2 linked regions of the Callithrix jacchus genome follow. The protein of the gene in region 2 purifies or fractionates together with the protein of the main gene of each other region. This does not show direct contact. Links are inferred from orthologs where the notes say so. Each region holds a gene or a part of one and is shown on either strand. Other genes may lie near its edges.

What was found. The genes of interacting proteins can lie anywhere in the genome.
Region 1: the proteins of CKAP5 (region 2) and SLAIN2 purify together in Homo sapiens (affinity purification with mass spectrometry; 4 studies listed by BioGRID and IntAct, counting the BioPlex papers as one, with this or other methods). This does not show direct contact. The link is inferred for Callithrix jacchus from reciprocal best matches to the Homo sapiens genes CKAP5 and SLAIN2.

What each region holds. Positions count from the first base shown.
Region 1 is NC_133504.1:145,434,466-145,438,123, forward strand, and holds part of SLAIN2 (SLAIN motif-containing protein 2), read right to left. Parts: intron 1,277-3,658; coding exon 917-1,276; intron 1-916.
Region 2 is NC_133511.1:111,814,365-111,818,022, reverse strand, and holds part of CKAP5 (cytoskeleton-associated protein 5), read left to right. Parts: coding exon 1-57; intron 58-2,517; coding exon 2,518-2,643; intron 2,644-3,658. UniProt on the Homo sapiens protein: Binds to the plus end of microtubules and regulates microtubule dynamics and microtubule organization. Acts as a processive microtubule polymerase. Promotes cytoplasmic microtubule nucleation and elongation. Plays a major role in organizing spindle poles.

The DNA.
Region 1 (3,658 bases), on a different chromosome or scaffold from region 2:
AGAATTTTAATTAAAAATTTTTTTAAAAATCAAATCATTCTTTAGATAAAGTTAAAATATTAATTAGCATTCAAAAATTATATTGTTTATCTAACATTTTGATTTTTTTTTTGAGATGTAGTCTCTGTTGCCAGGCTGAAGTGCAGTGGTACAATCTTGGCTTACTACAACCTCTGCCTCCCAGGTTCAAGCAATTCTCCTCCATCAGCCTTCGGAGTAGCTGGGACTATAGGCGTGCACTACCAAGCTCAACTAATTTTTGTATTCTTAGTATACACAGGGTTTCAACATGTTGGCTAGGACAATCTCAATCTCTTGCCCTTGTGATCCACCCGCCTCGGCCTCCCACAAGTGCTGGGATTATTGATATGAGCCACCACGCCAGGCCAAATATTCTGTTTATTTTACATGTGAAAACAAGTAGGACTTGTCTTTAAAAAAAAAAACAAAAAAAACTCAACCTAGGATCCGTAAGTGGGTAAATTAAGAGAACCCTTAAAGATAACCACAAATCGTATAGCAAGTAAAATGAAATTCACTTTCTCCTTTATTCTTGTAATGATTTACTATTAATAAAATAGTAAACTTGACTAAACTCTTGATTTACTTATCTGAAATACAAAAGCTTGGCAAAAATTGTATTACTTTCATAACAAAACATAAAGGACACTTCAAAATGAAAACAGGGTGTCGCTCTGTTGCCCAGATTGGAGTGCAGTGGTGTGATCATAGCTCACTATAGCTTCAAACTCCTGAGCTCAACCAATTCTCCAGCCTCAGCCTCCTAAGTTGTTAGGACTATGGATGTACATCACCATGCCTAGCTAATTAATATTTTCCTGGAGATGGGTTCTTGCTATGTTGTTGCACAGACTAGCAGAAACTGTCTAATTAACAGTAAAATCTGCTGATTTACCTTCATTTTTTACATTACTTGTCTGTAAATCTGTGGGATGGCCTTGAAGTGAAAGGCGAGGTTGCTGTAAGCGGCTAATCATAGGCTGTGGAGACACTCTACTATATTCTATTCCTCGAGCAGGAGATCGTGAACGAGGTGAATTTCTGGGTGACTGCTTAGGTGACGGTCGAGGTGAATTGCGTGGTGATGGTGAAAACCTGTTAACAGCAGGGTATACTGCATGATGCATATTGTCATCTTCATCATCTAAACTTTGTGCATCAAGTTCCTGATCACTAAAAGTACCCCGTCTTGTAGAATTGCAAGAAGAACCAGAACTGCGCCGAGACGTGGTGGCTGCATATTCTTGCCGGAGACCTGGCAACAATGAATGTTATTTATTTAAATTATATTTTTAAACATTTAAATATTTTTAAAGTAAAAGATTATCACTGAGCAATTCGAATAGGGTGTAAAGTGTAAAAAAAAAACAAAAACAAAAACAAAACTCTCTTTCTGCTTTTAGACATCCTCCCATACAAGGATGCATAAATCACATCTGAAGGTTATTTTAAAATTAAACAAAATCCCATAAACCACTGCCCAATTTCCAGATTTCTTCTTAAATCTGAAATCTGTCTCACATGGTAGAATCATACATTTAAAAAAATGTCTACCCCTAAAGATAGTAATCCAAATTTGAGAGTAATATCAAAGGAATATTTAGGGGAAACAATTACCATCCAACCAGTGGAAAAGAATACATATGTGAGTAAATAAAACTCCTTGGATACTTAATTATTGAAGTAATCTTACTCATGAAAAGGATAAAGTACCAAACAAACACCTAACCCACATTTAGGGATTCAGTACTTGGGCACAAAGGAAATCTTGATTGCTTCATTACTCAAGAGACTTCAATTTCTATTGTTTTAAGCTTGTTTTCAAGCTTAAATTCTAAGTCTTCAAGTAAGAATTTTGAAAGAATTATCCTATATAGCTTGATACCTTCAAAAATACCCAAGCAATCTTGGGAGTACTTCAAGGAGTATAGATGCTTCTAGAACCAGAGAAAAAAAGTTCGTATGTAACATATTCAATGAGGAAACAAACTGCAATGCAGAAGTATAGAATTTAGGTAATACTCTCAGCACGTCCTGCTAACTATTGGCACTCTAGTCAAAAAATCTGTTATAAAGTGGTATTCAAATCCTCAAGTCCTGCATTCGCACACAGAAAGTGCTATTACTAACATGGTTCATCAAACTAGTAGATGAGAATCACCCTAGGGTATCTTTAAAACTATAAATTCCTAGAGTCCACTTAGTCCTTCATTCAGTTTGGGAACCAAAATAGCAACCAACAAGTTACTTAGTGTCTAGTTATAGCCAATATGGCACTAAAGTCACCTAACAAAAGACAACAGACCAGTGAAAAGAGCACCATTAGAAAAGAAAAATCCAGTTCCCAATGTAGGCTCTCCTAACAAGTGGATCCTAAGGAAGTCACAATCACTATAGGATCTTGCATTTTTCATCTTAAAAATGAATGACCTTGACCAGGCAACTGCCTAACTCTGTAATTCTACATTTCTAAGTTTTACAAAAAACAACGCTGTAAAAAGGAAAATCATCTCTAAGGGGTGGGTAGGGGAAGCTGCAGTTTTCAAAGAAGTATCACATATATTTTTATTATTATTTTTATTCACCAGGAAAATAAATATTCATGCATGTGAATGGCTTAGAAAAATTGTTAAAGCAAGACTAATATTTCTATTGTTACCAAAACACAATACAAAACCAAGAGCAAAGAGATGGCTGAGCTTGTAACAAAATACTGGAATCTAAAAAGCCAGGGTTCGAAGAAATAAGAGAATTATCCTAAGGTATAGAGCTAGGCAGCATTCTTTATTTTTTCACATCCACAACAATAACCAGCCCCTAACCAGCTGACAATACCACGGTCTCAGTGAGGAGTTAATTAAAATTACAGAAGAAAAGAGTACTATGCTATTGGGTTGTAGGGTTAAATAAAGCAAGCACTAAGTCCTTCTATTTTTCTAGGGGAAGTAAATCAGCAGAGTAAGAAACACTCTAGTTTCTTAATAAATGCTACAGCTTGATAAAGCTTACTATATTTAAAGAGAACCTATTATATACACAGACAACAGAAAGTTTTTGAACTAAATCATAGCAATGCTTCATTACCCTCAGCCAACTGTCAAGACTCTAAAATATGTATTTCAAGGATTCTTTCATTGTAAAGGTTGAAGAGTTTACTTTACAGAAATGTCTTACTTCATAGTTAAGCAGATGGTATCTCCTAATGAAATGCATAGACAAGAATAACTACTTTCAGATGATGACCAGGGCAAGTAGCCATGAACCCTCTAAAAAGTATTAAAAATTCTGTGCATGTGTACATTTTGGTGATAACAGGAGTCATAATTTTTACAGGAGTCTCAAAGGTATCTGTGGCCTAAAAAGTTTTCATGGTTCACTCTGCAACGTACCATCACATGCTTCATTTAATTTAATGTCACAATTCCAATTTTCTCCTAAAGGTCTTTTTTATAGTTTATACCATGTATTCTCAAGTGAGGAGATATTTATTCCCAAGAGGGCAAAAATTGGTTCTTGGGGTGCGAAAAAATTCTTAGATGTCATAATTGTATATGGCCCTCATAGTACTTAAACATATATAGAGTATATCTTGTGGCATTAAGATTTTATAGGGAGTGGGGGTGAAAAGGAAAAAAAG
Region 2 (3,658 bases):
GAACCCAAGCCTGATCCAAAAAAGGCCAAAGCTCCAGGATTATCCTCTAAAGCAAAGGTATGTCAGTTCTCTATACTTCAATGTAGACTTCCTTTTAAATATGTTTTGTACAATGAGTCATTCTATTAGGAAGGATCATATTATATGTAAAAGAATATCACTACTGTTGATACTAACAAATTATTTATACAAATTTCTGTGGCTCATTTTTAATAAGGTCCTAAAATAGAGACATCCTGCTCTGAAGAGGTGCTGTCATCGTTCCTTTCATGTAGATTTTTAGGGAAAGATTTGCTTTATTGAAAGGAGAAAGGGCCAGGTGTGGTGGCTTACGCCTGTAATCCCAGCACTTTCGGAGGCCAAGGCAAGTGGATCACCTAAGGTCAGGAGTTCTAGACCAGCCTGGACAACATGGTGAAACCTTGTATCTACTAAAAATACAAAAATTAGCTAGGTGTGGCATGCACCTGTAATCCCCACTACTCAGGAAGTTGCGGCAGGAGAATCCCTTGAACCTGGGAGGCAGAGGGTGCCGTTAGCCAAGATCTTGCCGTTGTACTCCAGCCTGGGCAACAGAACGAGACTCAGAAATTAAAAAAAAAAAGGAGAAAGAAAGCATTTGTAGCTCTGGCATAATAAACACTTCAGGCTGATTTGGATTTAAGAAAAGGAGTTTCGCTGTTGTTACCCAGACTGGAGTGCAATGGCACGATCTCGGCTCACCGCAACCTCCGCCTTCTGGGTTCAAGCAATTCTCCTGTCTCAGCCTCCTGAGTAGCTGGGATTACAGGCATGCACCACCGTGCCCAGCTAATTTTTGTATTTTTAGTAGAGATGGGGTTTCACCTTGTTGACCAGGATGGTCTCGATCTCTTGACCTCGTGATCCATCCACCTCGGCCTCCCAAAGTGCTGGGATTATAGGCGTGAGCCACCGCGCCCGGCAAGTTGGACAATTTAAAGCAGTATGTTCAAATGGTCAACTTTATCCTTGAGTGATTTTTTTCATTTTAAGTTTTTTAATAGCAGAAAATTGTCATTATTTCTATCAAGATTCAGATTAATAAACATATTCAGAGCATTATTTAATACTTACAAAAGGAAAATTGCAAAAACTGTGCAATGGGTAGTAAATTTAATAGTAAATCTAAATAGGGAAGTATTTAATTTACTTCCTGTAATTGATGAAAAAATATAGAGTGATAACTTTTTTTAGGCAGTGTATGTACAAATACACTCCAAAATAGAGTGTATTTTGGAGTACATGCTCTAGGGTCATTCCTCTAAATATTACAGTTATCCATTTTTCTTCCCTATGCTTGGCTCTTTAACTCCTCAGTGAGTTAATTTAAATGGGTAATTATCTTCAACTATCCAAAGATGTTGTTCTTTTCCTGTCTGCCTGTCCTCACTCCAAATTTATCAAGTGCTTATTTTAGTGTTGATCACGAGTGCTTTGAAGTATTTTTTGACTCCGTTCTTAATGCCACAGTTTTTTTTCCAGTCTTTTTAAACTTACAAAGCAGTTTCATATACATGATCTCATATTTGTTTGGTCTGAATGACTTAGTGTTTATACTAGAAAGAAATTCTGGCCAACTAGAAATAGTGGCCATGCTGCATTTATAATAATAATGATTCCAATAATGAAATTTGAATTTTACCTTAAACATATATACTCTTTACTATTTTCTATCTAATATGAAGATTGTAAATCTTGGATTATTTTTAAAATCATGTGACTTAAGTTTTTAAAGCATTTCTTATAACTTTCTCTAGAAGGAAGTTTGAAAGGCCTTTAGTTATACTGTTATGATAGAGATACATTTCAATATCAATGGAGAGAAACAGAAAAGCTTTCAAAGTAAGTGATATGAAATGTGTAAATGCCATTCGAGGTGTCATTAATGGCTGAGGCAGGTGGATCACTTGAGGTCAGGAGCTCGAGACCAGCTTGGACAACATAGTGAAACCCCATCTCTACTAAAAATACAAAAATTAGCCAGGGGTGGTGGTGGGTGCCTGTGATCCCACCTACTCAGGAGGCTGAATCAAGACAATCACTTGAACCCAGGAGTCAGAGACTGCAGCGAGCCAAGATTCTGCCACTGCACTCCAGCCTGGGCAACAGAGTGAGACTCCATCTCAAAAAAAAAAAAAAAAGATGTCATTAATGTGGAATGCTATAAATAGTGTTGAAGATTTCAAGATAAAAACAATCATCCAATAAACAAAAAGTCTGTGACCTAGACTAATGATCAGTAGTAGTAGCTTTTACAGCTACATAGCATGCCAGTCCAAGAGCTAACCAACAATTACTTAACAATATTCTCAGAAAAATTTCTGGAGAACCTGTTCAAAAACGTATACAAGATTCTATGACATATTTTTTTTTCATGTGAAATATCATGTAGAAAGATGTCTCTGGTTTCTATAGTGCCCTTTTACTGGGCAGCAGCATCATATTCTTAAGGAGAAGTGGCCAAGCTAATCAGAATTCCCCGAACCTTGGTTGTAGGGTGCACAAGGGAAGAAGGTGCCAAGCAAAACAAGCTTAAAGGAGGATGAAGACAAATCTGGACCGATTTTCATTGTCGTTCCAAATGGAAAGGAGCAAAGGATGAAAGATGAAAAAGGATTGAAGGTAAGGAAGGATTAAGAATCGTCAGAGATTTTTACTTGTTTTGTTATTCAAGAATAGTTTTGCCGTCTGAAATTCATGTTATTGTGAAATATCTAGGAATTCAGTGTTTCTTTTGCTTGTTTTAAGATATTTAAGATATTTTGCTTTATTTAAGATATTTAATAAATATTAGTTTATAGGAGCATTACTTCCTACCAAAAAAACCTATAGAATATAGTTATTGCCTATTTGTCCCTGTAAATAGAAATAAATGATATAGTAGCTTTTTTTTGGTTTCTTCATTTTTAAAATCAAAGAATGGAACATATTCATTGTTGTTGTTTTTTTTTTAATTAACTAGACATATAAGCTTCTTCATTAATCTTTCTTTCTAAGACCTTACAAGGCAGATTTGGTGACTGTTTAATAAATGGCTAGTTCAGTCATTTCTCTTATTTTGCTTTGATTTCATTAGGTACTAAAATTTGTTTTCACAATACATAATCTTTTTTAAAAATTATAAGCAGTACAAAAAGTGCAAAGTATAGTATGAAAAGCATGTCTCTCTTCCATTATCCCTTCACAGGGAGGATATTAGTACTCATTTTTTTAATGTATTACTCCAGAAATATTTAATACCTCTACTGTCATATGTATATTTTTATATAACCTCCTTTACACAGATGGGGACATGCCATACTGTTTGTTCTGTATCTCACTATTTTCTTTTAATGATGTTTGAACTATCTGAAAGATTATTCGTATCTGTATATGTATGTGTGTGTCACTGTTTGTATTGGTACATTATATGTACATATCTTTCTTTATCCTTAGCCTACTGTGTTGGACATTTAGGTTGTTTCTGGTCTTTCACTGTTACAAGCAGTGCTGCTGTGAATATCTTTGAATGTGGGTCTTTGTACACATATGTCAGTTTATCTTTGTTAAACTCCTAGAATAACAATGTGCATAATTTTGATATATATATAAAATTTTCTCTCTGTCAAAGATGTGGCAACAGTATCCACCATGTAAT